Linked DNA regions of Bombyx mori. The protein of the gene in region 2 interacts with the protein of the main gene of each other region in a pairwise test. Links are inferred from orthologs where the notes say so. Each region holds a gene or a part of one and is shown on either strand. Other genes may lie near its edges.

What was found.
Region 1: the proteins of dynamin (region 2) and sorting nexin lst-4 interact in a two-hybrid assay, tested with the Caenorhabditis elegans proteins (2 studies listed by BioGRID). The link is inferred for Bombyx mori from reciprocal best matches to the Caenorhabditis elegans genes dyn-1 and lst-4.
Region 3: the proteins of dynamin (region 2) and E3 ubiquitin-protein ligase Su(dx) interact in binary tests that used the Caenorhabditis elegans proteins (3 or more experiments, as listed by UniProt). The link is inferred for Bombyx mori from reciprocal best matches to the Caenorhabditis elegans genes dyn-1 and wwp-1.

Annotation. Positions count from the first base shown.
Region 1 is NC_085119.1:13,643,484-13,647,244, forward strand, and holds the start of sorting nexin lst-4, read left to right. Parts: upstream 1-1,538; 5' UTR 1,539-1,762; exon of another isoform or gene 1,763-1,990; intron 1,991-2,441; 5' UTR 2,442-2,455; coding exon 2,456-3,761. UniProt on the Caenorhabditis elegans protein: Involved in the signaling of vulval development by acting as a negative regulator of epidermal growth factor receptor (EGFR) signaling. Aids in phagosomal membrane tubule formation which is required for phagosomal fusion with endosomes and lysosomes.
Region 2 is NC_085121.1:5,669,360-5,673,020, forward strand, and holds part of dynamin, read left to right. Parts: intron 1-959; coding exon 960-1,163; intron 1,164-2,232; coding exon 2,233-2,425; intron 2,426-2,848; coding exon 2,849-3,058; intron 3,059-3,661.
Region 3 is NC_085110.1:8,433,344-8,437,104, reverse strand, and holds the start of E3 ubiquitin-protein ligase Su(dx), read left to right. Parts: upstream 1-1,078; 5' UTR 1,079-1,188; exon of another isoform or gene 1,189-1,388; 5' UTR 1,389-1,453; exon of another isoform or gene 1,454-1,501; intron 1,502-1,523; exon of another isoform or gene 1,524-1,722; intron 1,723-2,109; 5' UTR 2,110-2,193; coding exon 2,194-2,263; intron 2,264-2,376; coding exon 2,377-2,664; intron 2,665-2,896; coding exon 2,897-3,135; intron 3,136-3,491; coding exon 3,492-3,715; intron 3,716-3,761. UniProt on the Caenorhabditis elegans protein: E3 ubiquitin-protein ligase which accepts ubiquitin from an E2 ubiquitin-conjugating enzyme in the form of a thioester and then directly transfers the ubiquitin to targeted substrates. Ubiquitinates klf-1.

The DNA.
Region 1 (3,761 bases), on a different chromosome or scaffold from region 2:
GAAAAATTGCGTGCTTCTATTGATAACTGGCCTCAACGTTTAAAGGACAGAATTGCAGCCAATGGAGACCACTTCGAATAAGCTTTTATACTTTAAATTGTTTTATATTTATGTATTAAACTAACACACTGTAAAAGTAATAAATGTTATTTGCCATAGAATTTTTGAAGTGAAACTTCCTTATCGGCGTTGGAAAAAAATTTACCGTCACATTTTTCGGTTACGCGTCACATTTTTCCGTTACGCGCCATCTGTTTTGTATTCATGTCTATGATAATAAAATCCTTTTGTTTAAACTTTATCTAATTTAACTTTTTTGTATTCATGTCTATGATAATAAAATCCTTTTGTTTAAACTTTATCTAATTTAACTTTATTTAACCAATTTCTAGAAAGTTGCATGTAGATCATTTTTCGAAAAATAAGGCCATAAATAAGTTTCACTTCTTACGTGTGTACACTAGTACACGCACACATTTTTTTTTGTTTTCCTTTGTAACAGTATTTATGGCCAGACTAAGTATAGACATAGGTATTATTATTAAAGAAAATTTTGGCAACATTTTACACGCAGAAATACCAATAACAAAACAAATATAAATGCAAATGTAAACAGATCAACTTAAACGATTACAAACCGTACGTACCTACCTAGATAATGAAAGCCATCTCGCAAATAACGCAACACACAACGACCAAAACAAGTAACGCCATCTAGTAGAGAGCAGACCAACAACATACGGCCATAATAGAAATCGTATTTCACGAACGTTCGAGCTCCATTGCATACCGGAACATAGGATGGGGTGTAGTATGCAAACAAGAAAAGCGCGACAATGCCAAAGTCGAACAGACGAGTGCAAAGCGAAAAAATGAGAGAATGAATGCTAATATGTATTAGATATTTATTTGATTGTCCGCATTCGATCAATAAGCATTTTTTTGGTTAAAGCCTTGTTCATAATTTAATCCCCGAACCCCAGGACGTAGGAAAGTTTAATCAACCCACTTGTCTATTTATTGGACTAAGTTTCGATCCATAAAAAAACCCACGCACAGTTTACAACATCAAGTTTTCATTCATCGCACTTTGTTAACTTAATTGCGTAGTCGTCGCGGCGTCGTACCTTTATTGAATGGAATTACAACTGAAATCTCGTAGCAGATGTCGCCACTGTGGTGAGCCCGTAAGGCCACCATAACATACCTTTACTTAGTTTGTTATCCAACGTCAGTGCCCATGTGGCTATCACATAGCATTGTAAGGCTACTCGGGTTGATTTCCATGATCGTATTGGCGCATTTTTTCGCTTTTAGCTCTATTCATATAACCTCCATGAAACAGTAGCGACATCTACATTTCATTCTACTGTAAATCGTAACAGTTTTAATTATTAGAAATTTGTATGAAAATTACTGTCGAGTCAATTATTTCACAGCAATTTTCTCTTCACCAGTACATAACTTTAATAAACACTAAACATAATTTTTTTTTAACTCCGCTTAGACTAAGAGATTCTAATTGGTTATTTTGTGTTGCCCGTCTCCTATTGGATGTTGATACCTGATAATTTACTCTGACCAATGACTATTAACCGTGTAAAAGGAACATTTCCTTGCCACATCAACGAGAACATACAAATTTTACACTATATGTTGTAAGAGAACAATAGCTATAGAAAACAAGTTTTGTTAATCTGTCAAACAGATGACTGTACATTCGGGGTATCCGCTTTGAAATTACGTTTTATACTGAAAAACAGTAAGTAAAACGCATTATTTGTGTAAATGTGTTTACATAAGTGATATCGAATCAAAATTGAAGTGCAGAACCGACTAATACTGCGATTGTTCACTGAAGTTCCACAATACACGAGTTCAAAATTGACGTCATTGGTTTGATTTCCAACGCAAAATTGTTGAATTTAAAACCGTTTCACCTTCAAAATCCACCAATACTTCGTTCACATATGAAAACCTTTATGAATTAGTAATAAAAATTTTCATATACATTAAAAATTATTCACATCAAAGAATTTTTAAATAAACATACTACTTTTCTGGGTTTTACACAGCGAACAATGCATTTTCGACGTACTTTTGAATACAATACAAATGCTTAATACGAACATGTCACAATTTCGAGCAGAATCCTAAAACTGTAAACGAGATCAAATTCATCAATTACAGCTAATTGGTGCTATTATGAAACTAGCGATATGTGTCAGCGCCTTACAGCCCACCAATTTCGGCTTCAAATTTTACAACTAAATAAAATAATAATAGTTATAACACGAACATCGCAATTTATTTATCATTTATGTGCATACTCCCTACATTTCTAGATAACACTGATAAGATAAAATTTGTACTCAATGTAACAAACCTTCCTAATAAAATCGTTCAGGTTAATACAATAATCTATTTTGCAATTGTTGTAGGTACGGGTCTTAAAATGGCGACCCAAGTGCAGGCTTTGTATGACTTCACTGGTGAGCCTGGCACCACAGAGATGTCCATAACTTGTGGAGAGGTGCTCACACTGCTCAACACAGAAATCGGAGAAGGCTGGTGGGAAGGAAAAAAATCTAATGGAGAAACTGGTCTATTTCCTGCTGCATATGTCAGAAAACTGACACCAGAAGAATCAATTCAAACTAAAGCTGCTCCTCCAGCACCTAGATATGATCAAGCAGCAGATGACTGGGGCGAACAACACTACAGTGCAGGAGATAACAATTACCAAAGAGGAGTTTCGCATGAAGATGGCTGGGATGATGACTGGGAAGATGATACATACTCAGAGATAGGACCAGCCCAGCAACAAAACAAGACATCGCAGTACAACCAGCAATCATCCATTGTGATTCCCGGTATGCCTATTAATGATTATAATCAACACATAGATGACACATCTTCAAATTATAGCTCATCAGTGGGCACAGTTAGAAAAAACAAATTTGCACCATCTTCAAAGATTAGTGGAGAAAGCTACCTGCTGGCAACCCTTAATGTAGAAGTACCAGACTCTGAAAAGGTCTACATTATCCAAGATGAAGATGGATATATTTGGTCCCCAATTACTCAGCCATATATTGTGACTGTGGCCTCTCCAAAAAAGGAATCTAAATTCAAAGGGATCAAGAGTTTTATAGCCTATCAACTGACTCCTTCATTCAATAATATTCAAGTGTCCAGGAGATACAAACACTTTGACTGGCTCCATGAGAGACTACAAGAAAAGTTCACACTTATTCCAATCCCCCCTCTGCCTGACAAACAGATATCTGGAAGATATGATGAGCAACTAATCGAACGCAGGCGAGTTCAGCTCCAAGAGTTTGTAGATTGGATGTGCAAGCACCCTGTGCTCTCCAGAAGCGAGGTTTGGCAACACTTCTTAACATGTACTGATGAAAAGAGATGGAAAGCTGGTAAAAGGCAAGCTGAAAAAGATAATTTGCTAGGTCTAAATTATTGTGTTTCACTAGTGGTACCTGAGAAAGCATTATTGCAATCACAAGTTGATCATATCACAGAACAGTGCCACACTTTCATTAACAGTGTCGACACAGCCATCAAGTCTGTGTCTAGCATGTGCATTGTGCAAACAAAACGTTTCCAAGGACCATACAAGAGTGACTGCCAGAAAATAGGAGAAGCATTTTATAGTCTTGGCAATGCCTTAAGCTTGGATGAAGGTACCATAGTATCAACATCTAAGCTGACTTCAGCTATTAAAATGACAGGTGGTGTCTACA
Region 2 (3,661 bases):
ACGGTCTTATCATTAGCTATGTAGTCTTTTGTGAAATGCGTTCGAGCATCGTAGATTCTTGTTTATTTGTTTTCACGTTACGTGGAAATCGAGAATACCGTTCTATAAAAATATGGAAACAATGTATCATAATTAATGTTGATTACATTTGAGTTTTGTAGTCGCATTTAGTACAAAATATACTTCTATATCTTCTTCTCTATCTTCTATCTTCTATTATAATTCTCTATCTTCTATATCTATATTCTTCTTCTATATAAATGTACTAAATATACATACTTCCGATGAAATATGATTCCTATTTAACCTTAAATCTTTCAATCCTAAGTATCTTGCTTGAATGCCTAAAGAGAGTTATAATAGGAAAAATACTATACTACGGATTTGTGTTGCCGTTTTAATTATTTTCGTTATGTGGTCAGGTAGATCTTACGCTGATAGTATTTTAACTGGTCACTGATAAGGGATCATGGTACGCTAACGGTGCCGCCTCTAGTAGTTTTACGGCATTCAACTTTCACAGTAACAGTATTTTCTCATTATTAAAACTGTTTTTACGGTTTAATCTCGTGTTTTTTATGTTTTGAATACTTTACGGTTTTCATGAATACGGATGACCAAGGCGTTATTCGTCGCCATTTGGAGTAATACTTGTAGTATTCAAAATAAGTATAGTAACTTAAAACTTTTTAGTCGTCGTGGCCTAACGGATAAGACGCCCGGTGCATTCGTGTCGAGTGATGCGACGAGTGACAGTGTTCGAATCCCGCAGCCGGTATCAATTTTTCTAATGAAAAACGTAGTTATCTAAATGTCACGAATTACTTCTATGATGAAGAAATATTAAATAAATAAAATAAATAAAACTCGCAAAAATTATAATTTGGGTCTATTACGATTACGATTCTTGTCATAATTATATTTTAATGACAAAATAAACGCATTTTTATTGTTCGCAGTGCTCAACCTGACGCTGATTGATTTGCCGGGTCTGACAAAAGTGCCAATCGGTGATCAGCCTATAGATATCGAGCAGCAAATCAAAGGGATGATATTCCAGTTCATCAGACGCGAATCATGCCTTATCCTGGCAGTTACTCCGGCCAACACGGATTTGGCCAACAGCGATGCTCTGAAGCTTGCCAAAGAAGTAGACCCACAAGGTTTGTTGAATAAAATTCAAAGTTTATTATTAACATGTATACATTTATAAAATTTATTATCCCATCGCCGAATATAAGGAACGCCGTGTGATTTCATTTAATTATTAATTTGTTAGTAACGACTTTTATCGTGAACGTTAAATTGAACGAAAGCACAATGTTTGCTACAAATAAAATGGTATAAAAGAATACCTGAACAATATTGATTTATCAATGTTTTAATTTTAAATATTACTTGTGTTTAACATTAACAGTTGAAATATTCGCTATTTTTTTAAATTAATTATAAATTAAATTAAATTATCGATATTTGCTAGTTCATTATTGTTTCGTATTTTTTTAGTAAATCATTTTATTACAACTATTGTGTTTCCTAAATATTACCGGTCATCGTTCTCGTCGAATCCGTCGCTTGCGACGAAGGGCTCCAAGAGTAAATTAACCCACAGACACAGCCCACTGAGTTTCTCGCCGGATCTTCTCAGTGGGTCGCGTAACGCGTTTCCGATCCGGTAGTAGATTCTGGTGAAGCACGGCTCTTTTGGTCTCACGTCGTCAGGTTTGAACCCCGTGAGCTCACCTACTAGTTAAGGTTACGCTGAAATAGCCTCTCAAAGCTATCAGCTTAGGTAGGGAAAAAAAAGCGCACTTAAAAAAAATATGTGTATTTTTTCTTGTTTAAACATTTAATTATGCCTTCGTGTTCCACAAGCCGAAACACAAATAAAGACAAAGATGCTACTTTTCATGCATAAGTATTTGTAAACAATTTAAATTGATTTATTTAAAATACACGTCTGGAGCGGCTTAGCGGGATGAAGAAGAGGCGTGAGGGGTGGAGAAGCGGCGGACTGCCAAAGATTATATATACTAAACAGAATCGTTAAAGTTCTGATGGTAACGATCTCTATACGGCATCGTTTCTTTTTGTGAAACTGGAATTGAATAAAATGATATACTATGATATGAAATGATAAATAAATATTCGAATCACATAATTTAATTAACGTGTCGTTACATCTGTTGGTTTATGAGTTGGAAAACTAAAAAAAAAAACATCGGTTTCCAGGATTGCGTACTATCGGCGTAATAACAAAATTAGATTTGATGGACGAGGGTACCGATGCGCGGGACGTGCTCGAGAACAAGCTGCTGCCGCTGCGCCGAGGCTACATCGGAGTCGTCAACCGATCGCAGAAAGACATTGACGGTCGCAAGGACATAGCCGCTGCACTTGCGGCTGAGAGAAAATTCTTCCTTAGGTGATTCATTTGCAATACCAAAACTTTGTTGACGAGTGATAATTCTTTTTTTTATTGCTTTGATGTGTGGACGAGCTCCCAACCCACCTATGTTAAGTGGTTACCGGAGCCCATAGATATCTACAACGTAAATGCGCCACCTACCTTGAGATATGTGTTCTAAGGTCTCAGTATAGTTACAACGGCTGCCCCACCCTTCAAATCGAAACGTATTACTGATTCATAGCAGAAATAGGCAGCGTGGTGGTTGGTACCCTTGCGGACTCACAAGAAGTCCTACCACCATTAATTACGCAAATTTGCGGGTTTGATTTTTATTACACCATGTTATTATTCCTTCACCGTGGAGGTCAATCGTGAACATTTTGTAATAAGTCGTATAATAATAATGAGTTTTTTTTTTGTTTTGTTTGTTATTAACAGCCACCCGTCATACCGTCATTTGGCCGATCGTCTCGGTACCCCTTACCTACAGCGAGTGTTGAACCAACAGCTCACCAACCATATCCGCGACACTCTGCCCAGTCTCCGTGACAAGTTGCAGAAACAACTACTGACCTTGGAGAAGGACGTCGACCAGTACAAGCATTTCCGACCCGATGACCCGTCTATTAAAACTAAGGCCATGTTGCAGTAAGTTCTTAAAGTACATAGTAATACTGCATTTTAATGAAATTGTTTTCGAAATACAATATTTGTATTTTACTAAATGCACCTTGCATTTTATAAGACATATAAGGACGTATCTTTACATGACCTAAATGTGCAAACAATAATTGTCAACAGAGTTAAGCATAGCGCTAGTAACAGTGAAACTCATTGAATATTGAAATCAGAAAAATGATTGAATATTTAAAATCTATTTGTTGATTAGCATTTGTTTAATGCATCAACGAATCGATATTATTTGTTAAAATAGGTCATTTATGGGCAGGATAGGGTAGTTTTCAATCTGTTCATACCTGGTAGAATATAAATGCTTATATTAACCCTTCTTGAAAATAATTACTTTTAAATCATAATTAGTTGGTACATCAACAATAACGCTAAAGACGAACACATCCGGTAGTTGCCGTTGGATTGTGTGTTTTGCATGCAATGTAACAAAATAAAGAAATCAGCTGACACGCGCGGTCATTGACCTCGACGGAACGCTGGTCCGTCCGCAGCTGTTTTCTGTGCGCTTAAAAAAACGACAAGTATTATAATTCTAAATAATGAACAAAGTAGCTGATG
Region 3 (3,761 bases), on a different chromosome or scaffold from region 2:
CTGTAAAACCCACTATTAATAGTACACATTAACGGTATAGTATAAAATTATGAGCAAGCTTTCTCTTGAGCGTTGTTCATTGACAGTTCTGAGAAACAAACACACAAATGGTTCCATACTCAATAGTATATAATACGCACTAGTATTTATCTATTCCACTGATACCACACTAACACTAATTTTACTCTCGCTTTAGATTTAGGATTGCTTTTGCACTACGCATTGTATTGCTTGTCTCGCTTCTCGTCCTTCCATTGCAAGACAAAATAGTTAAAAATTAACAAAAAAGTACGCTGGACATCAGCTGAACATCAACTCGCAATTTGAGACGTGAGATCGAAGTCTCAACTTTTGGCATCATCCGTAACTTGAGCTGATCGTAACAGAATCAAGTTATGTGATGAGCTATCTTGGGCTCTGGTAGAGCCCCTGGTCTACCCCACGTGTGATCGTTGTCTTCCATTCTGGTCTCCGACTTTTATAAGACGATTATATAACGGTGTTTGTGCGAGCTTCCCAGGACTGAACTTAGCAGGGTCACCTGTTACGTCGTTAATAGTCAGCGGGCGTCCTCTTTGGGTCCTAGCCTAACTTATCACGTTCAATGAGCTTACCAAAACTTCCACCATAGGTTTTTTTTTATTGCGATTTATGCTAGTTGCAGTAAACGAACTCATGTCCCAACTGCTGTTAAATCGTTACCGGAGCCATGTATCAACAACGTAAGCGCATGTACCAACGTGTCCCACCTTGAGATATGAGTTTTAACTCTCCGTTTTTACAGTACAGCAGCTGTCAACCCTTCAAACCAAAACGTAATTAACTGCTTCACGGCAGAAATAGGCATCTAGTGGTACCTACCCATGCAGGTTCATAGGACACCTTACCACCAGTAAAAGGTGGTAAGGCATAGGTAGGTGCTCGACTTACGGTCAAGATGCTCCGTCACATAAGTGATTAGTCAGTTTCACTATTTATTTATCTTTTTAGTATAAGTAGATAAATTTGATATATAGAAAACTAGTGGAAATTGTATAAAATCGATTTAATAGTCTTCAGTAACCTCTAATTTATAGGTATTATGTACAGACATACTCTGCGATAGGACGTGGTAGATTAGAAATTACTAGGTATATTGGTTGAGATAAATTAATGGACATCATTAATATAATCGATCGACCGTGACAGGTGCGTGACATACTGTGACTAATTTCAGGGAATGTGAAAAATTATTTACTCAGGATATCATTTAATAAATTTAAAAAAATACTAAAATTTTCTGTATACATTCAGATTTTCGTGTACGTGTATTTATGTGCCTTCTGCGCTAGATTTCAATAAGTAATGTGATAAAGAGAATGTGGCGTTATTTACGTTTCCTTTCACAGTGATAAGAATACGATAATAAGATAATTCGAAGGATTCTTAGCTTCGGACGAACTCGCTTCATATGGTAATAATTCATTGTTGTGTAACATTAATACTATAATTGTTTCAGGAGGTATGTTTGTATTGTGCACTTCGTGTTTGTTTATCGTTACAAGACGTATAAACAATAAGTGTCTTCTCGTTTAAGCTGGTTATTTAAGTCATTGACAGATAATAATCAATTGTCCAGTAAAACACTTAATCAACTTATTGGCAAATGCTTTCAGATCGGGATCGGTAATTTAGCAGCGTTAATTGGAAGCAAAAAAAAATTACTATTTTTCTTTTGGTTTGGTAATAGCAACATTAATGACAGTGTTCTGCTACAGTATTTTTCACACACAAAAAAACAGCATAGAAGCCCATTTAATTTCAAACTTATTACCATTAAAATCGTAATAAAATTTTAAACTTTATTCTATTTTGATCATCAACCTAAATAATAAGGACAAACCAATTAATAATTCCATACAATACTTCATACATATGGTTAAATTTTCAATACAATGTACAAAATCATTATCAATGTTACCTTTAAACTATAATTACTGCCTTATGGGACAAGTATTCCTAACACCTATAGCCCGTTAATTTAAATTTTATAAAACATTAACTTCAATTATTCATGATACTGAATAAAATGTGAAAAGTAGAACTCCATATTTTATTTTTCTTTCCCAGAAATGTCCAGTATTAAGATGAAACCACAGCCTAAATAAAACAATATTATGCTTCATTCAAAAGGTTTAACTAAGAGCATACACTATGAATGAAAATATATCTTCACTCACTGCTCCAATTTCTGTGTCCACATATCATCAACTGAGCTTAACAGGTAAGTTCAAATACATTTTGATCTAAACTGATTGAAAATTAATCTTGAAATATTTTTGCAAATGATATTAAATGAAATTATCAAATCTTCTAACACACATTGTATATTTTTAGTGGAATCAGCAAATATAAAAAATTCAGGCTTGTTCAAACCAAATCCATACCTGCAAGTTATAATTGATGATAAAATATTGAGAAAGACTGAAGTTATAAGGAACACCTTGCATCCAAAATGGAAAGAAGATCTTACTATTTTGGTGACGCCACAATCGCAATTACTGTTCCGTCTTGCAGATTATCATAGCTTTAGGAAAGACAATGTGATTGGTGAAAAAAAAGTGAACCTATTAAAAGTTTTGTTTTACTGTAATGGGAAATGTGAGAATTTAGAACTTACATTAGGTGAGTTAAACTGAACCAGTTTCTGTTGAAATTAAGAATAATTGAAGATTATTTAATATAGCCTTATAAAACTCTCTTCACTGAGAATTCATTTTAAAATAAGTACAATTTTTCAATATAATAAGAATGTAAAAGAAAGACATTACAATATTCAAAATTTGTGAAATTGTGCTTCATATAAATTCAGTAAACAAGTAAAACAAAACTTGTTGTAATGTTTGCACTTTTTTAGATTTAATGAAAACATCTTCTCAAGAGAATACTAGTGGAAATGCTGAGGTAAAAACAGCAGAACTGGTGTTGCTTCTAGATGGCTTAAGAATTGACCCTGGAGTGTTGACACAAACACGTGAATTACTTGGTGAAACGGCAAATACTGCAGCTCCCCTTAATGAAGGGGTGCGAGCCAGAATCAGAATGCGCAACAATCCTGAGACTGTTAGATCCATGATGCGATCACTAACACTTGGAGTAAGTTGATGTTTCTATTATTTGTATCATACAAAAAATTTAAAATAGAAACAATCCATCTACTACAACAAGGCTGCCTGGTTGAGTAATAACATTTATTCATGAATTATTATTAATTTCCATTAAATTGTTCATGACTAATTTAAGCTTTCCCATTCTATTTTAAAAAGGTTTATCTTTTGATCTATTTATATTTTAGTTTTAAATTACATTTTAAAGTTTTGAGATTGTAAAGAACTTTCATTAAAGAGTAAAGATATATTTTGCACATTCCATCAAAGTATAGTGTTTATATGGTCAATACAACTAAGAAGAAAAAGTTAGTTCTGTATAAATTATTTTTTTCATTTTTAAAGCCACCTCCAGGACCTCCACCAATGAGCAATGGGTCTATACATTTACCGAGTACTGCAACACAGTCATCATCAGAAACTGCAGGCCCCTCACAGCAGTCACGCCTGCCTGGTACACAGGATCCAACATCAACACAGCCAACATCTGCTAATACTGCTTACCCTAATGCTGCTGAGGAGCCTTTGCCTCCTGGGTGGGAAATGAGATATGATGGTTATGGTAGACGGTAAGTATTCCAACTCATAAATATTTAACGCGTCTCATACTAGCTG